4 linked regions of the Caenorhabditis elegans genome follow. The protein of the gene in region 1 purifies or fractionates together with the protein of each later gene. This does not show direct contact. Each region holds a gene or a part of one and is shown in the gene's direction. Other genes may lie near its edges. The genes, in order: erfa-3, cyn-6, C30G7.3 and rml-5.

Evidence for each region.
Region 2: the proteins of erfa-3 (region 1) and cyn-6 fractionate together in Caenorhabditis elegans (co-fractionation; one large-scale study listed by BioGRID). This does not show direct contact.
Region 3: the proteins of erfa-3 (region 1) and C30G7.3 fractionate together in Caenorhabditis elegans (co-fractionation; one large-scale study listed by BioGRID). This does not show direct contact.
Region 4: the proteins of erfa-3 (region 1) and rml-5 fractionate together in Caenorhabditis elegans (co-fractionation; one large-scale study listed by BioGRID). This does not show direct contact.

Annotation. Positions count from the first base shown.
Region 1 is NC_003283.11:11,109,547-11,114,735, reverse strand, and holds erfa-3 (Tr-type G domain-containing protein), read left to right. Parts: upstream 1-1,644; 5' UTR 1,645-1,665; coding exon 1,666-1,783; intron 1,784-1,829; coding exon 1,830-1,951; intron 1,952-2,422; coding exon 2,423-2,830; intron 2,831-2,888; coding exon 2,889-3,632; intron 3,633-4,081; coding exon 4,082-4,288; 3' UTR 4,289-4,636; downstream 4,637-5,189. Other genes in the region: math-33 (Ubiquitin carboxyl-terminal hydrolase 7), read right to left, coding at 91-435, 481-692; etfr-1 (LYR motif-containing protein 5), read left to right, coding at 4,991-5,110, 5,188-5,189.
Region 2 is NC_003281.10:771,462-774,701, forward strand, and holds cyn-6 (Peptidyl-prolyl cis-trans isomerase 6), read left to right. Parts: upstream 1-1,952; coding exon 1,953-2,150; intron 2,151-2,196; coding exon 2,197-2,604; 3' UTR 2,605-2,698; downstream 2,699-3,240. Other genes in the region: tpst-2 (Putative protein-tyrosine sulfotransferase), read left to right, coding at 116-153, 345-471, 518-712, 768-976, 1,032-1,242; alh-11 (Aldehyde dehydrogenase domain-containing protein), read right to left, coding at 2,932-3,062, 3,113-3,189, 3,239-3,240. UniProt on the Caenorhabditis elegans protein: PPIases accelerate the folding of proteins. It catalyzes the cis-trans isomerization of proline imidic peptide bonds in oligopeptides.
Region 3 is NC_003283.11:14,941,623-14,947,445, reverse strand, and holds C30G7.3 (MADF domain-containing protein), read left to right. Parts: upstream 1-1,741; 5' UTR 1,742-1,840; coding exon 1,841-1,861; intron 1,862-1,925; coding exon 1,926-1,992; intron 1,993-3,264; coding exon 3,265-3,362; intron 3,363-3,517; coding exon 3,518-3,637; intron 3,638-3,898; coding exon 3,899-4,050; intron 4,051-4,424; coding exon 4,425-4,743; intron 4,744-4,789; coding exon 4,790-4,873; intron 4,874-5,226; coding exon 5,227-5,271; 3' UTR 5,272-5,316; downstream 5,317-5,823. Other genes in the region: C30G7.4 (Matrix-remodeling-associated protein 7), read left to right, coding at 324-662.
Region 4 is NC_003279.8:1,791,423-1,796,953, forward strand, and holds rml-5 (NAD(P)-binding domain-containing protein), read left to right. Parts: upstream 1-1,831; 5' UTR 1,832-1,837; coding exon 1,838-1,942; intron 1,943-2,369; coding exon 2,370-2,546; intron 2,547-3,199; coding exon 3,200-3,685; intron 3,686-3,928; coding exon 3,929-4,031; intron 4,032-4,638; coding exon 4,639-4,919; 3' UTR 4,920-5,002; downstream 5,003-5,531.

The DNA of each region.
Region 1 (5,189 bases):
TATGAGTTATAAATTAATTCGCGAACTATTATAAAATTCCCGGTTCCTGTCGTTTTTTTCAATGTCTCCTGATGAGAGTGTTAAACTTACATATAGTTGGCTCCAGTCGGAACATCAGCAGTGAAACGACATCTCAATTTGATAGTGTCATTCACTACGTATCCATCTTTGGGGTTGCACAGGGTGTCATACTGGTCATAATTTGAAAATCCCCAATCAACCTCCGTATTGTGAAATGAATGATGAATCTTTTTCTGAATCGATGGACCATCCGCATTAAGAACTTCCAAAACGGCCGTTCCATAGCATCGCCACATTCCACGTTTCTGCAGCAACTCATCATTGTTGCACTGCAGAAAGAACCCGAAGTTAAAATTGCTGCGGTTGACACGAGAGTTCATCGAATGCCGACTTCCTTGTTGATTTCTGGAACCTCTTGGCTTGTTGAGCAAATGCTCTTATTAATTTTTAAAAGCTTACCTGCAAATGGCTAGAATACGCCAAGGGATGCCACGAACGATAATTGGCTTGGACATAATCCGATTGTCTGAACGAGACATAAACTTCGAAAAGCAGTCAATGTCCAAGGACAAATGGCCTTCTGGCCCGAATGGATCCAAACTTTCATCATAGGATGGTATATCGTGCGTCGGCACAATGAGTAGATCTTCGGGATCCGGCGAGCACTGCATGATCAGACTGACGGGTCACTTTGTCTGCTAGCGTCTTTGCCTCTTTCGTTTATCCGTTCTCTCGCAGCAGCCACACAAGTTAGTGATAAAACAACCAGAGTGATTCCTATAGTCAATCAGCCCAGTGTTTCTGAAAAAATATCGATTTTTGACGCTTCATTTTTTGAAGAAAACATTTATTTATTTTATAGAAAAATAAGAACACAAGCAAAACTATTTGCAAATTAATATAAGAAAACAAGAACGCATTTGTTTGGAAGTATTACATGATGCTTCGCGTGAGAAAAGACACCGGTGAAAAGAGAACAGAAAACAAACGGAATCGAGGAGCCACAAGGAAATTAATATTGATCGATTTTTGACAACAGTCTTATCCTTTTGTGGAATTTGGCTGGATAAGTTCGGGAGAGCGCGTTCAAAAAGCGATGTAAATCGAAAAAAAAAGTAAACATGGTGATATTGAAAAACCTTCGATAATCTGAGAAAGTGAAGGCAACTTCAATTTTCATAGCGGGCACAATTCAAAATAAATTGTTTTTCTGTTATCTTTTCAAAAAATCAATAAAAAAGTCACACGTCAATGAGTTTCGCAAGAGTTTTGGCGCTTATATTTTTGAAATAAATATCACTTCGGCAATGACCCAGAGAGACATGCGGCAGACTTGCGAAAACGCGTGCCGCACATTGCGTTTGGGCTCCTCCCCATTCGTTTGGCAATACTTCTCAAAATGGTGCAACGATCGTTTTTCGCTATTTATTTTTCACTCTGTGACATTCTGAGCACTATTTTTCCAAAAAAATTTCAAAAATACAACTTTAAATTAAATGTCTGACTTAAATATAATTTTTCTGTTTTGCTTGAAACGTTTTAGCTCGTTTTAGGTTCGGTAACTTTTATAAATGTTTTAAATAACACCTGTTATTCATAATTAAAAGTTAAAAGCGATTTCAGAGCTCTCGGCATCGACGCAAAATGTCAGGCTGGAACGTGAACGCCTCGTCGTTTGTGCCAAATGCGAATGCACGACCATTCGTCCCTGGGCAACCATACACGCCTCAACCAGAGCAGGCTGCTCCAGAACCAACAGAAGGTACTTGCCTGTATCGATATCTTAAAAAAACGAAACATTCTTTCAGATTGGGAAGCTCAAGCAGACACATCCCCTGCTGCAGTTCAGCCAGAAGTTGCTGAACCAGTTGCAGTTCAAGAATCTGCGCCTGTTGCACCCGTTTCCGCAACAGAGGCTCCGAAAAAAGAGGTATGAAAGCTGTTATGAGTAGCATTGATACCTGACTTAAAAAATAGTACAAATGAATTATTTTTTCGAGGTTCGGTAATTGTGAAGAATAATTAATGTATACTTCAAAAAAATAAGTTTCAATAAAATTTCAATGAAAGTTGGTATCATACGTTGAACGAATTTTTGAGATATTCATTGATTATTTGTTTAACAGTTATTTACCTCAAGACCTTTCAATTTGTTTTGTTTTTTTGGATTCTACAATCAAATATTTGTTCTATCACTATTTTTATTTTCAAGCTTCTGATACTGTTATCTGTAAGTCTTAAAATGCAAATAATTCAATTTTTGATTAAAAAAAAGAAGAATATTGGGGCACTTCTACTGGAACGATTTTGTATATTTGTATTTTTTAGTAAAGGAAACCCAGTTCATTTCCATTTTAAACACAGTTTTACTATTTTCTAACAGCTCAATTTCAATTTTCAGCCAACCCCAGAAGAAGACCTTGTTGCTCCTCTCGCCAAGAAGTTTCAACGTACCGTATACGTCGACGATGGCACTCACAAAGAACACATTAACATGGTATTTGTCGGGCACGTTGATGCTGGAAAGTCCACCATTGGAGGACAGCTTATGTTCTTAACCGGAATGGTTGACAAGCGGACACTGGAAAAATACGAGAGAGAAGCCAAGGAAAAGGGTCGTGAAAGTTGGTATCTTTCCTGGTGTATGGATACAAACGACGAAGAAAGAGAGAAGGGAAAGACTGTGGAGGTTGGACGTGCCTATTTCGAAACCGAGAAGCGTCATTTCACTATCCTCGATGCACCGGGCCACAAATCTTTTGTGCCAAACATGATTGTTGGAGCCAATCAAGCTGATTTAGCTGTTCTGGTATGTTTCACGATGAAAGCTTTTCTGTTAAGAACTGAAAATATTTTAATCTGTTTAGGTTATCTCCGCACGTCGTGGAGAGTTTGAAACTGGATTTGATCGGGGAGGCCAAACTCGTGAACATTCTATGCTTGTCAAGACTGCAGGAGTTAAGCATCTGGTCATCCTCGTAAACAAGATGGACGATCCAACCGTTAAATGGGAAGAGGAGCGTTTCAAGGAAATCGAAGGAAAACTCACGCCGTTTCTTAGAAAGCTTGGGTTCAATCCAAAGACTGATATCACTTATGTTCCATGTTCGGGGCTAACTGGAGCCTTCATCAAGGATAGACCGACGGGATCCGAAGGAAACTGGTATTCAGGTCCGTGTTTCATCGAATTTATTGATGTGCTTCTCCCATCCTACAAACGTGATTTCAATGGACCTGTCCGGTGCACTGTTGCTGAAAAATATTCTGAAATGGGAACTGTCATTATCGGAAAGATGGAATCGGGATGTGTGCAAAAAGGAGATACACTTGTTGTTATGCCAAACAAACAGCCTGTTCAGGTGCTTCAGATTTGGGCGGATGATGTGGAGACTGAACGTGTCGTCGCTGGAGATAATATCAAATTCAAGCTGAAGGGAATTGAAGAAAACGAATTGCAAGGAGGATTCATTATTTGCTCACCAGATTCTCTTGCTAAAACTGGCCGCGTTTTCGATGCTGAAGTCCTTGTCCTCGAGCACAGATCAATTATTGCATCCGGATATTCATGTGTATTGCATATTCAATCAGCTGTCGAAGAAGTCACTGTGAAGGTATGTCTTTTGAGACCCGAAGAACTCGGGGGATGCCCAATTGGGGGGATTACCAACTCGGGGGATTGGCCCCGCCCACAGAACCGTGGCTTGCAATACGCCCATTTCTGCAACTGCCGCACGGTTATAAAATTATTTTTTCTTGTTATTTCTCGCTCTAATGAGAAAAATACAGGTTTAAAACCGTGCGGCAGTTGCAGAAATGGGCGTATTGCAAGCCACGGTTCTGTGGGCGGGGCCAATCCCCCGAGTTGGTAATCCCCCCAATTGGACAACCCCCGAGTTCTTCGGGTCTCTGTCTTTTAATTTTCTGATTTTTGCCGAGATCCCGAAATTTCAAATCATTTTTCTACTTTCATGTGACATTTTTTTCACTTTTACAAGAAACGTTAAAAATGAGACTGTTGCTTTTCTCGTAAGTATTTTTTCCAAATAAAATACATTTTCAGGGAGTCATTGCCACAATTGACAAGAAAACGGGCGAAAAGAAGCGTGCTAAGTTTGTGAAACAAGACGAGAAGTGCATTATGAGACTAGAAAGTCCTGAACCATTCGTACTCGAGCCATTCAAAGAGTATCCATACCTTGGAAGATTCACCCTCAGAGATGAAGGAAAAACAATCGCTATCGGAAAGGTCCTCAAAGTTGTCGAGTAATTTCATTGATAAATTAGTCATTTCTATTCTAAAAATTGTTTTTTTTTCTGATTTCAGCCGGTCCGTTTTCTGTCCCTCCCACATGTCGCTTTTCACTATTTTTCTTTTAGATTCCACATGTTTCCATTGGGAAGATTGTTGAATCTAATGTTACCAATCCTATTTCTAATAGAAATTACCTGAATTCATTTTCCCTTCCACTATCCATAAAGCAAAATTCTATTCGTATTCCATTTTCCCTTCATATATTATTCAGAATTTAAATCTTTGTTCATTGTTTTCTCTATTTATTCGATTAATTTGATTTGATTCATTCAATATTCATAATATGAATGGGGTGTTTGTTTTAAACTTTGGACTATACTGTAATACGAATAATCAAAAAAGGAAAATAACCTGATGATATACCCACATATGATTCGCCGTTTGTAAAATACTTATGGCCACCAATATTACAGACGCATTTTGTAAATCGCGAATTTCGCTGCGGGACCACTAACATTTTAGCAGTATTTTGGTAATCGCGATTCTCGGTGGTCGCAATTTGCAAAATATTTGCGATTTTGCAAGTATTTTACTATATCGCTGGTGCCTCTCGTAGAAGTGTGCGAACTACATTTCATAAGTATTTTAAAAACCGCGAAACACCTGTGCCTACTCTTTGCTTGAATTGCACAGATTTGATCAGATAATATTTGAGGAATGTCATTGAGAAGCAGAGTAATTGACTTGTACAAAAACTTGTACCATATGGGGAAGGAATACCCTGGTGGATCGAAATGGTTCCACGATCGGCTCAAATTGGCGTTTTCTAAAAATAAAGTAAGCGAACGAAAATAATTTTGATTGAATCGTTGCTGAAATTAGAAATTCTATAACAGAATTCACAATAATTACAGGA
Region 2 (3,240 bases), on another chromosome or scaffold:
TTCAAAAGAGAGCTTAATCTTCAATGAGCAAGATGCTCGACACTCGAGACGACTCCTCTCAAATTTGGAGCAGCTGATTTTTGTGGGTGGTGTGCCGAGAAGTGGGACTACTTTGATGAGAGCTATTCTAGATGCACATCCGGATGTTCGATGGTAAATTTAGAAAATTTCAAAAATGCGATGTATGCTGCGCTTGGCCAAAAGATCTTGAATTTCTTCTCCTTTAAAACTTTTAAACTCCGTCGAAACAAGGCTTTCTGAAGTCAAGACTTTTTCTTGACAATATGATACTTCTTATTCAGAAAAAACAAAACGTATTACTTCTGCTCACTTCAAACTTTCAGTGGCGGTGAAACCATGCTGCTTCCAAGTTTCCTTACATGGCAAGCAGGCTGGCGGAATGATTGGGTCAATAATTCAGGAATTACTCAGGAAGTATTTGACGACGCTGTTTCAGCATTCATCACTGAGGTAGTGCTCTTGTCACCGTGTTCATCTTTAATTGCAATTCATACAGATAGTCGCGAAGCACAGTGAACTAGCACCTCGTCTGTGCAACAAGGATCCATACACCGCATTGTGGCTTCCGACTATTCGCCGACTGTACCCGAATGCAAAGTTTATTCTGATGATTCGAGATGCTCGTGCCGTAGTTCATTCAATGATAGAAAGAAAAGTACCAGTTGCTGGGTATAATACGTCTGATGAAATTGTAAGGTCTCCCTAATGAAACTCTTGAATTTCTAAAGATAATTTGAAACATTTAGTCAATGTTTGTTCAGTGGAATCAGGAGCTTCGAAAAATGACTTTTCAATGCAATAATGCGCCAGGGCAATGCATAAAAGTATATTATGAACGACTGATTCAAAAACCTGCGGAAGAAATCCTACGTATCACCAACTTCCTGGATCTGCCATTTTCCCAGCAAATGCTAAGACATCAAGATTTAATTGGAGACGAAGTTGATTTAAACGAGTATGTGCTTTCTTCATTAAAACTTTTGAACTTCAACTATCTCTTAATTTTGCAGTCAAGAATTCTCTGCATCACAAGTTAAAAACTCGATAAACACTAAAGCCTTAACCTCGTGGTTTGATTGTTTTAGTGAAGAAACTCTACGAAAACTTGATGACGTGGCACCTTTTTTGGGAATTCTTGGATACGATACGTCGATTTCAAAACCCGATTATTCCACATTTGCGGATGACGATTTTTACCAATTTAAAAATTTTTATTCTTAAAGTTTTGCACTGTAACCTATAACTTTTATAGAAAATAAGATGTCCAAAGTTACCTACATCATAGATTGTTATTATTTTATTTTTATCTATAGATACAACTGTTAACCTACATCATTATCATTATCTCCCATTGTTTTCAGATAGAGGTCAAGGTAACTTTCTAATTCTCCACACTCTCTGCAACACTATAAAAAAGAATGCGCGCACGCACAAATGTCCACTATTCCGCCGGACACGGCTGCTTCCTGCAGCTGTATCGATTTTTCTTTTGTCGTTTTTTTCTTTTCGAACAGGATTTTTGAATGCATTCTTCTATATTTTTTGAAAAATAAAACTTGCAATTAATATACTTACAATTAAATACATGCTGTTGGATTTCTAGAAAATTGCTTACATTGTTAGTTAAATTAAATACTATGCATTATATTTATAAATAAAATATTTATTTATTATAACTTAGTACTTAGTACTTAAGTACTTAAAGTACAAAGTAGGGGAAAAAAGATCAGGAACTAGAAATCTTATGATTAAATTTTGATAGGCTAAATTATTAGAATTTTGTTTAACTTCAAACGATTAATTTTGAAACTAAATTCTTACTTTGAGGTTTTTTTAAAAATCATATTTTATGTCAAATCCGACTTTTACCATATACTACTCTAATTATATTACTATGAAAATGAGCATCCAAAATCTCAACAAGTTTCCAGATGAGCCGTGCTCTTCTTTTCTTCGTTCTCGCCATTCTGGCTTTGTCAGCCGAGGCACGTGGACCACGTGTCACTGACAAGGTCTTCTTTGACATGGAGATCGGAGGAAGACCTGTTGGGAAAATCGTCATCGGACTTTTCGGAGAGGTCGTGCCGAAGACAGTGAAGAATTTCGTTGAGTTGGCACAGAGAGCTGAGGTATTTCAGTTTGTTAATTAAATTCTGTAGACTTTAATATTTTCAGGGAGAAGGATACGTTGGTAGCAAGTTCCACCGTGTCATCGAAAACTTCATGATTCAAGGTGGAGACTTCACACGTGGCGACGGAACCGGTGGACGATCGATCTACGGCGAGCGCTTTGAAGATGAGAACTTCAAGCTTCAACACTACGGACCAGGATGGTTGTCAATGGCCAACGCTGGAGAAGATACCAATGGATCTCAATTTTTCATCACTACCGCCAAAACCTCATGGCTCGATGGAAAGCATGTGGTGTTCGGTAAGATCCTGGAAGGAATGGACGTAGTTCGTGAGATCGAGGCTACACCAAAAGGAGCTGGAGATCGGCCAATTGAGGATGTTGTCATCGCCAACGCTGGACATATTCCAGTAGAGAACCCATTCACTGTCGCCAGAGCAGGAGTTAATTAAACCTAATGATCTACGGGTTTTCCAATTAATATGTGTATTTTTGTTGAATGTACTATAATTACTTTCTAAAATTCTAATAAACGTGTTTTGTTTCAGTACTTGATTATACAGCGCTGTCAGGATGTGCTACGTTTTGGAACTTGTAATAGTATTAATAATTGAGCAACCTGACTTGCCAATGTTCGAAATACCAAAAACACTATATCATAACTTTGTGGAGTATTGGTTTCAATTCTGAAGTTGAAATACACTTCTAAAAGCAATAATTTATTCTCGATCCGTTCGTCTAACTAGTAAAGTATAAAGATTTGTACATTTGAAGACTCATTAGAATGGGTTGGGGCACGTTCCGGTATTGACAAAGACCGACTTCAGGTGAGTATAATGTTCGAGTACTGCTGTTCCGTTTTCACGTCCGAATCCTGATTCTCCGACTCCTCCGAATGGAACCAGTGGCGCTGAAATTACAGGTTCTTTTCTAGATCTAGTGGGATTCGGAGCAACTTACAAACATCATTATAGGTATTGACATAGACGTTTCCAGCATTCAACTGCTCAGATACTCGATAGGATCTTGAGAGGTCTCTGGAATAATGAGATTTTCATTGAACATGCTTTAATAGGGTACTCTTACTT
Region 3 (5,823 bases), 3.8 Mb from region 1:
TACGAAAAAAAAATTGAAACCAATGTTTTTCTCGCCAAATAATTTGTTTCATCGGGAAAATAATAACGAAAAAGTTTCACAATTAAATATTATTAGTCACATTTCCAAAATAAATCATCATCAATTGTTTGCGATAACAAAAAAAACTTCGGAATTCTTAACACCTAGAAGCAGCCGTCTGAAAAGTACAAAAGCTATTATATTTATGACAAAAATGACATTTAAAATTGATTCTATATTTTCAGAAGCTGTAAGTTTTTTCCAATTCAAAAACATATAGGATACAAATGATTTCTACTTCAAAGAATTCCAGAACTTCAAACATGGCAGTTTTTGATTTCATCATTGGTTTCGGCTTCATGTTAATTGCTCTTTTTCTCATTTTCCTATACCTCAACAAGGATGGGCACATTTCAATAGCTATCAAAAAAATATTAACGAATTCAAGACAAAAGGCAAAAGATTTGAAGGATGGTTCAACATCCGACCCATCAAAAACGACACCAGCCGCACCTGCATGCTCTCCAGTATCAAATGAGGAAATAACAATACCCTCAGATGTTCAATCGGTGAATAATACTTTATCAGAAATTTCATTGTCAGAAGCTGAAGTTCAAGTTGATGAAGAGAATCCAAATATTGTGAAAATCCATGTAATTTGATGACTGTTCGCATTTCTAGTCATCATTTTGAAATTTAATAAACCAATGCGACATCGTAGTTTACTTCACCGTTGTCAATTTTTGTAGATGTACTGAAAATGTGTTTGAAATTTGTCCAATTGCAAAAATAATAATTAAAAGCTGACAATAATCATCTATTGTTCACAATGACGAAGAAATTCTAAATGCTTCTTACATAGAAGCCGACTGATAAATATAGAACTATAATATTTATGACATGATAGCATCCAAAATTGTTTCTATATTATAAAAAGCTGTAAGTTTTTTGTTCAATTTGATGGGATGGCAGCAAAAAAGTTACAATTCGACGTTAAACCATCACAACCCAGATTGACCTCGCAATGAAATATTTGACCAACTGTAGATTAAAAAACATATACCGTATTATTTCTATTAGTCTTGCACCAACAATGCTTAATTCCGAGATTTTTAGAAGATAATTTAAGTTATTTTCGTAGCATTAAGCCATATTGGTTATCATGATATCTGACTCAAATTTGGTGTCTTGGCTCTATTCTCGTGCAAACACCAAAGTCGCGTTAAAATATTTCATTAACCTAGGGAACTGCCACAAAAGTTGCACACTTTATTATCCACGACAATTGATTTCTTGGCTTTTGTGAATAAAAAATAATGTTTTTCGTAAATGAAAAATTTCAAATGATGGATTTTCCGGAAATTAATAAAAAATTATCAATTTTTCAAAAATTAAAATTTCATATTATCGACTTTTCAAAAAAAAAAAATTAAAACTTCACATTATCGATTTGTCAAAAATTGAAAATGGCAGATTACCGATCATTCAAAATTTATCGATTTTTACAGGAAGATGGAAAGTATGTAACTCTGAAATCTAATGTCGTGGAAAATGGTTTCTACTCGGGAGTCTTATAGATTTTTTCTCATTAATTTATTGATTTTTGTATTGTCATGATCTCAATTTGAAAAAAAGAAAGAAAATGTAATAATTATCGATATATTTTTTTAAATAAAACTGTTTTTGAAATTAAATCTTCACGTGGCCTTTTCGAATTTTGTTATTCTCAACAATAATCGATAATCCGTGAGATTGATAAAATCGATAAATTTCAATTATTTCTCACTTTTATACTCGTCAATACCACATTTATTACTCGCCGCTTATTCACATTACTCCAATGAACTGCAGACAATCAAAGGTGAGGTGCACGAGAAATGCGCCAGCATTTGCTTGCGCAATTCACGATACCGTATATTTTTCAGAAAAATTCTCACATCTGGGACAACGTCTGTACCGCCGGCACTCGTCGTAATCCGTATTACGTCTGCTGTGAGTTTGAGAGTCGGGAAAAACTGATAGTTTTTGTTGTTTCTGTTCAAAAATCGATAATTTCTCAAAAATAAATATTTTGAAAATTTAGAAAATATCGATTTTTCCGTAAAATCTATATTTTACACAAAAATTTTCACCTACGTGTAATTATCGATTTTTGTTCCAGAAAAGAGTTAAAATTAAAATTTTCGAATTATTGATTTTTTTGTTGGTAAAAATAGCATACAGGGTGGGCCAAAAGTATGGTAACACATGAAGCGCTCTTTTACATGAGCTTTTCGCGCGACTGCCACGTCATACGTACATTCTTCTATCGAATACTGATAGCTGAATAAATTTCCTTCAATTTGACTCAAAATTTGTAATGTTTCCCAATAAGGTGCGATCTTTATCACCTCGACAATTTGGCGAACCCTTTCGAAAAAACGGTAATTTGGCACGCGGCACTTCCCACACAAACACACCTCCCACGCACGCCAATAATTTTCAGATGTATGATTTTTATGTTAAATTGAAAGTTAAAGAAGTGAAGAAGCGTTTTTAATTGTTTTTGTAGCATATAAAAATGTTCTGTGTCGACACTGGCGCCTAGCAAGAACCTTTGTATATTTCATGAATTCAACTTTGCGAAATTTACTCAGTTTTTTTGGTTTCGCAAGGCGTAACGACCCACAAAATCATCCGAGCTCAATTTTCTAAAAAAATTCTGGAAAGTCAGGTCAAAACGTCTCGAAAAATACTAAAATAAATTTATCTGAATACTGCTACTCGCCGCTCACATCCATCTTTCTGGCGACTATGCCATTCAAGACTTAACCTACTGCCGCAGTCCATGACAGAAATACCGTGATAGAAAATATTTTGATTTTTGTTTTTAAAGAATCTCTAGACCAAGGGCATTCTTTGAACTATAAAAACTTGTAAGACACTTTATGGATTCCTCAAGAAAAATGTAGAAATCCCGCAGAATGCCGACTTGCGTGCCATAAAGATCGTGATCTCAAAAGTTCTGAAGGCCTGCAGCAATGCGGATGGATATATTTTGAAAATTCAAAACGTTCATCTGGTCAGTATTTTATGGAGAACAAAACTTGTACAAATTGATGTAATAACTCTCTCCACTAGTAAAGTTATAGAGCTGCAAACGTGTTACCATACTTTTGGCCCACCCTGTAATTCCTAAAAATCAATACTTCGAAAATATTTTTGATTTTAAGTAAAAAGCGATATTTTTTCACGTTCTTTTTTTTGATTATCGATTTTATGCAGACGGCACCACCGGCTCCACCACCTCATCACTGTCAATTTTGGAATTTTCACGTGAACAAATCACCGTAGTGTCGCCACGTGTCAAATGTCCCCTCAAGGTGAGAATATTGGAAAAAAATCATTTCAAAATTTGATCGCTGTACAAAATGCCATTTTTAACAACTATCTATCGTCAGATTCCGACCGGAAATGTATTGATTTTTTGATTTTTTGGACTAAAAATCAATAAATCAATATATATTTTTATTTTCAGCAAAAAATTGTGGAAAAACCGAAGAAAAGGAATGTATATGTCACGAACTGGGATCGTGCAGCGGCGGAGCAACCAAAGGCACTTGCCACGTGGATTTATCAGCCATTTGATAAGAGAAAGGTGGGTCGAGAATTGCGCCAAGGCTCTATCATTTTGTTGGCTTGTTGGACATCCTATCAGAAAGACATACCTGAAATTTCAGTTCGATAAGACTATTTTGAGCAGTGTTACCAGGCCTTGAAGTTTCTTATAAGATTAATCGACCGCGTCGCAGGTTGTTTGCTTTGACTAGTTGTAACTTTGCTCCCAGTGGATTGATTTGAAATTTTTTGTGTGGCTAGCTGTGTATTATTACGTACATTCAATTCAAAAAATTTTCAGTACAACAACCGCACGGCATCCGACGCCTTCGACGCCTACCAACACCGCCTGAAACTGAAAAAACTGCCCGAGACAAAGCAAAAAGTCACAAAAACCACCAAAAGACATGTGACTATCAATGAAGCGGCGACTCAAGTCATTCAGGATGTGTGGTGAGTTTGCACTAGAAACGCGCCAAGGCACGAGTTTTGCGTTAAGGCGTTAACAGTAGTATACATACATACATCAGAAATCAATACAGAGAAATCAATACACAGCTCTACGAGCATTTTGAACAATTTTGAACAGTTACGTAGATTTTGAACAGTTACGTAGATTTGAAGTATTGAGAAAAACCGCGACGCAGACTAAAGTTTTGAACCACTGTAACTTTGCTCGCACTGTTCGAAGACTTTCAAAATTTTTTGTGAACGCTCCCAATGTAATTGTTAATATGATGACGTCATCATTGCTCCTTGGCGTATTTTTCGTGCCATGACGCAATTCTTGATCATTAAATTTGAAGCCCTAATTTTCCTAGTTTCAGCCACCTCCAACCGAAATCCTACCAAAAAATTCGCATATCAAATTGTCGAAATGATGAGGTGAAAATCGATAGTTTCTCTGCTAACCGAGTTCCAAAAGACGATGATATTGACGACCTGAACGTGAATGTTCCAGTTGAAGATGATGATGACGTGGAACTCGATGACGTCATCCTTGCTCAAAATCCGGCGTTTTACGGCACAATTGAAGCGGAAAAGTGTGCAGAACGAGTTGCCGCACATCTATCGATGGCCTGTGAAAACATGGAACGTTTGCAATTTGTGACGGAAGCCGTGTATCCACAGAGCGCCGCTCATTTGGTGAGTGATTGCCTAATATGGAAAATAAATATTGATTTTTTTGCAGAAGAAGCTTCAAGAAATCGATGATGACGTCAAGGATTTCAATTGTCAGATGAGACAGCGTCGTGTCAAAGCTTCGAATCCAGGAGTACGTACTTTTAAGTTTCTGTGTGAAATTTCATGGCTGGACCGCGACGCGACACGAAACTCATGAAATTTTTGAAACTTTAGCGTTTTAATTCAGAACATCAAATTAGATGAAAAAAATGAACCACAGAAAATTTCAGAGCTGTAGCCACATTTTGAGCAAAGTTAAGGTGGTTTGAAAGTCCTAGCGACACACGACGCATGTCAAAACTTGCAGTTACCCTAACTTTGCTCTTAGTAGACACAGAGCTCTGAAATTTTTTGAGCGTGCTCCCCATGCAATAGAAAACTTGTTTGCGCAATTTTGGTGCCTTGCAAACACCATAACCGTGTAAAAATATTTTATTATTCCAGGGAACAGTCACAAAAGTTGCACACTTCATTATCCACGGCAATTGATTTTCCTCGATTTTTGCGAATAAAGAATTTATTGATTGGATTTCCAATTTTTTAAACCTTTTTTGTAGTCACCTAACAACCCGGATTTTCAAGTAGATTTTTAACAATTTTCAGGAAAGCGAATAACTGGAAATAATGCCTAAGTGCCTAAGACTAAGCCTAAAAATGAGCCTAAGGCTAAACCAAAAAAAATCCTAAGCCTAAGCCCTGTGACATAAGCCGGCAAAGTGAAGCAAAACGGCTTGTTTTTTGCGCTGTTATGAGCTTCATTCTTATTTGTTAGACCTTGTGTGTCCCCAAGCCAAGCTATTTCGTCGACATGATGATAAAAATTGGTTTTTGATTTAAACGAATTTTTTGACGCCATACTTATTTATTCGAGAAAAAATAAGCATATATAAAATAGGAAATTCAACAGAGAGTCAAACAAATTAAACGCTTTTTCAAACTGAACTTTCAGGAAAAATAGCAATACGTTTTATCTGAAAAGGGTTGTTTGCTATTATATTGTTTTGTTGCAGAGAACTTATTAATAATATTTATTTTTAAAAA
Region 4 (5,531 bases), on another chromosome or scaffold:
CGGTCGTTTTCGCAAATATGCCACGTATCGATTGATTTCTCTATTCTACGTGTATGTGATGGCTCTTTACTCATTGCAAGTTGATGATGACCTCGATGATAAGGATAAGGATAATTAATTTCGAAAAAAAAAAGTTTTCTTTTTTTGAATAAAGCTAATTTTTTACTTTTTTATGAATCAGTACTAAAAAAAATCTGGAAAATTATGGCCCAAATCAAGAAATTTCCAAAAATTAACGTCTCCGGAAACTTGTTTCTCTTGTTAGGCTCCGCCCATTTTTTAGGCCAAAATTTGAATAAAAAATTGTCAAAAAAAATTTGCCGCGAAGATCATTATTTATATATTAAAAAATATTATGAATTGATACTGGTATAGGGTTAGTATGGGGATATGGTCAGTGTACTGTAGTAGTACTGTAGGGGTACTGTATGAGTACTGTAGGATTACTGTAGTTTTGGAAAAATTGACTTTTTGTCTTTTGAAGAGATATTGGTTTGAGGTTAGTAGGGGGTATAGCCGGGGTACTGTAGTAGTACTGTAGGGGGTGCTGTAGGAGTACTGTAGTTTAAGAAAAAATTTAGTTTTTTTTTTTCAAATTCAAATTTAATGGGAAAATTTTTTGGTGGGAATTAAAATCTTCTGTGATAAAATTTTGGCTGAAATTCAAATTTTCTGAGAAAAAAAACAACTTTTTTAGAAAAATCTGGAAACTTCTAGAATTTTCTAAAAATTGAATTATAATTTTTCAGACCAAACTGGCGACTAGAGTGGCGACTAGACTGAAAATTTTTCAGAGCGACTTTTTTGCAGCTCAAAGCTGTGCTCCCACTTGGTTTCAGTCCGTCAATACGGTTTGATCTACAAAAAATGCGGGAATTTTTTTGCCCAAAAAAATGTGACGTCACTCTTAACCATGCAAAATCAGTTGAGAACTCTGCGTCTCTTCTCCCGCATTTTTTGTAGATCTACGTAGATCAAACCGAAATGGGACACTCTGCCACTGATTTTTTTTGCACCAGGGGCCTATTTAGAATGGGGTTTTTTTTCAAACGAATTAGGTTTTATTTAGAAGTCTGGAACTTAGTTAAAATATATTTTATTTGGCCCTTGTAAGTTTAAGTTTTTCAGAATTTTCAGAACTTTTTGAAAGAATTTTGGCGCGCGAAACTTGAATGCTGTGGTTTTTCATGCTACGTGGCTGCAAAACTTCTATTGTCGCAGATAGAGTATACAATCAATGTCCTGGATCTATCTCGATTTCATTCGCATGTCTCTCTGCGGCTCTCATCTACCAATACTCTCTCACTTCTATCTGTTCGTTGCGATCTCTGCGCTGCCGTCCTTGACCGCGATATGTCATACAGAAACTGTATTCATTCTCGACTTTCTATTTTTTTTTGTTTTGGAGAATTTATGTTCATCTTAAAATTAATTTGGTTTTTGAACATATTGAGGAAACGGTTTTTTGAAAAATAATTTGCTTTTTTTAAAAATTTTTTTCCCAAAACACATTTTAAAAAATTAATTTTAAAAAATTTCTTTGACAAGCGACACGCGGTTCTGGCTTCCCTCATAAATTGAAATGGAAGAATTTGCCGAACTAGGCCAGGCCATATCCGGGGTAGATTTACGGCGCGTTGCGTGTCGCGTCGCGGCTTGATTTCAGTTGTAAAACTAAATGTATTCGTTCGTGTGGAGTGCACGACTTTCCCAGTCCGGCAGGCAATTGTCAATGGAGCGGGAAAAATTTAATGAGGAAGGCCAGAACCCCGTGAAGCGACACTCCGTTGCTAGGCGTTGCAGATTTTTTGTTAAACCTTCGAAATTTCAGTGAAAAATGACCGTTTTGATTACCGGCGGGATTTCAAAAATATCTACTCAACTTGCGGAGGCGGTGCTAAAAAACGGAAGAAATGTGGTTCTTCTGCACAATAATGAGGCGGTAAGTGGTGGCCTACAAAATTTTCGAAAATTAATTTTTAATTATCGAGTAGTATAGGATTTTCCAGCTGGCCGAGAAATCCTTGTAATGGCCTTAAAAGTTTAACGTTCCTATTCCGGCAATTGGTAATTTCGGCAAATTTGCCCAAATTTGTCCAAATTGCCGGAATTGCCGGAATTGCATTTTTAGGCTCCTAAATCTACAAAAAGTATGAAATTTTTATTTCCGGCAATTCTGGCGATTGCAGGTTCTCAAATTTTTCAGCAATCGGCAATTTTGGCAATTGCCGGTTTTTTGAATTTTCGGCAATTACCGAAATTGCCGAACAGCGAAAATGGTTCCCATTGAAAATGCTAGAGTGGCCTAGAAATTCTCAGGTGGCCGAGAAATTTCATGATGGCCTAATTATTTCAAATTTCTCTTCCAGATTCCAACAAATCTGATCAATAATCCATCGCTCACACTTATCAATTTATCATCAATCAACGAGGAAGCAATCAAAAATCTAATCGAAAATTACAAAATCCAAACAATTTTCGACGCATCTCTCACCACAACTGATGTGCTCTTGGAGCCAATTCAAGGAGCTAAGAAATTGATTCTGGTAAGGTTTTAGTAAACATGCTCTATTGGCAAACATTGGGTGTACTCCACGTGAAAATAGAGAAATTTCGAATTTCGTAAAGTCAGAAATTAAAAAAAAAATCCAGAAAACTCCTGGGAAGTCAGAAATTATCAGAAAATTTGGAATATTTTTTTGAAAAATAAAATAAAAATTCCAGAAGTCCACGTGGTGTCAGGCTGTCCCATCACGGTTTGATCTACAATAAATGCGGGATTTTTCCCCCAAAAATATGTGACGTCAGCACGTTCTAAACCATCTGCGTCTCTTCTCCCGCATTTTTTGTAGATCTACGTAGATCAAGCCAAAATGAGACACTCTGACACCACCTGAAAGTCCGAAATTTCTAGAAAATGTTGAATGCTTTAAAAAAAATCAGAAAATTCCAGAGGTTTCTTTAAAAAAAAGGTTGAGAAAAATTGAAAAATTTATATCTTTTCTAAAATTCTAAAAAAAATACAAAAAAATATTTTAAAAATAAATCAACATTTCCAAAAATCTTTGAACAATTTAGAAAATTCACGAAATTGCAGAAATTTTCAGAAATTTCAAATTTTTTTGAAAAATTTCCGTAAAAGCACGCGCGCTCAGTTGACAAACCCCTAGAATTAAAAAAAAATCAATATTTTTTTCAGGGAATCACGTCAATCCTCGATGCAATCCGTAAATCCGCATCCCCACCATCTCTGGTTCTCATTAGTGGTGACGAGGTGTACGGTAGGGCGAAGAATCGTGTCGAGACCCAACCTCTAGAGCCGGTCACATTCATCGGCTCAGCTCAAATGTCCGTTGAAGCAATGGCTCACAGCTATGCTGTCAGTTATCGTATTCCAATGGTCATCGGAAGGGTATCCGATGATTTATCGATTTCTGACGCGACACGTGGATTATTGGCAATTGAAAAGTTGGCACAAAGCCAAAAACCAGCGGAGGTCTACAATATTTCGGCTTCTTCAGCTGAAAAAATTCAGAAAGAAACGAATTGGAGCCCGTCTGGCTCTGTAAAGGAACAGGGACCCATCGAAGAAGTTTTTAAGCCAATTTTCTTAGTTTTCGGAGCTAATTCGGAACTGAAAACTCAATTTTTGGAGCTGCTAAAGCTGGAGGGACTGGTTTCCAAGGTTTGATCTCAAATTTTTGTATTACGGTAGCCACAAAAAAACACCATACTTTACGACAATTTGCAGAAAATATCTAAAAATTACGTCTTTTGTATTACGGTAGCCTCAAAAAAAAAAACACCATACTTTACGACAATTTGCTGCTCCAGGGGTAAAACTAAGCGGGAAATTCAAAAAAAGTGTCTAAAATTCGTTTCTAAATTTTTAAAACTCTCAAAAAGTCAAAACTTAACTAATTTCCAGGAATCCACAATCACAAATCTGCAAGAAGCCACTGATAAATCGGTTATCGATGAGATTAACACAATCAATCCATCCCATTTGGTTTATTTCGGAAATGAAACCGGTAAGTGACTTGGTGGCTGAAGACAGTGGCCGCAAAAAGTTTTTAGGCCATGAAATTATATTTTTTGGTCGGAAATGCTTTTCTTTTTACGCTAAAAAAATCAAAAATGCCAAAAAACAATTTTTTTTGGACTTAAAATTTGTCTCAAAATTCAATTTCACGAATCACGGGTTCTGGCCTTTCTCATTGAATTTTTCGCGCTCCATTGACAATCGCCCGCCGGAAAACGTGTGGGAAAGTCGTATACTCCACACGGACAAACACATTTAGTTTTACAACTAAAATCAAGCCGCGACGCGACACGAAACGCGCCGTAAATCTACCCCAGATATGGCCGAGCCAAAATGGCCTAGTTCGGCAAAAACTCTTCCATTTCAATTTATGAGGGAAGCCAGTGGCCGCAAAAAGTTTTTAGGCCACGAAAGAATCTTTTTGGTCGAAATTTATGTCAATTTATGCTTTAAAAAAATTCAAAAATGTCAAAAAAAAAATTTTTTTTGGACTTAAAATTTGTCTCAAAATTCAATCAAAGCTTTTTTCGCTAAAATATTTTTTCACCGAGAAAAAAATTCTGGGCCAAAAAAAAGCTTTTTATTTCAAATTCCAGACTCATTCGAAGGCGACTGCTTCACTCTCCGTACCAATATGGCGACTAATCTCTATTTTCCATGGCTTCTCGCAAGTATTGCCGAAAAGTTCTCCCTACACTTCACCCATTTTGGAAATACTTCTATGAGCCAAGAGTCTTCAGCTCTTGCCGTTAAAGGATACACTGGGAAAATGTTGGAATATTTCGAAAAAACGCTCATAATTGGACAGAAAATCGATAAAAACGTGCTGGAATCGATTAAGGCATGCAAGACTGGAGGACTTAATAATAATATTTAATTATTGAATTTTTGCAAATTATTTTTGAACTTAAAGCATTCCTTTTTCTGCGATTTTTTCAATCAATAAATTTTGAAATTAGTGTTGTACTGGCAAATTGGCAAAATGCCGGAATTGAAAATTTCAGGCAAATCGGCAAACCGGCAATTTGCCGAAATTGGAAATTTCTGGCAAATCGGCAACCCCGCAATTTGCCAGAATTGAAAATTTCCGGAAAATCGGCAAATCGGCAAACCAGCAATTTGCCGGAATTTAAAATTTTCAGCAAATCGGCAAACCGGCAATTTGCCGGAATTGAAAATTTCCGGAAAATCGACAAACCGGCAGATTGCCGGAATTTAAAATTTCCGGCAAATCGGCAAACCGGTGAATAGCCGCAATTTGAAATTTCCGGCAAATCGGCAAAACTGGCAAATTGCCGTAATTTAAAATTTCTGGCAAATTACCAGAATTGAAAATTTACGGCAAATTAACGGAATTGAAAATTTCTGCCAAATCGGCAAACCGGCAATTTACCGGAAATGAAAATTTCCGGCAAATCGACAACCCGGCAAATTGCCGAAAATGACAATTTCCGGCAAATCGGCAAACTGGCAATTTGCCGACTTTCCG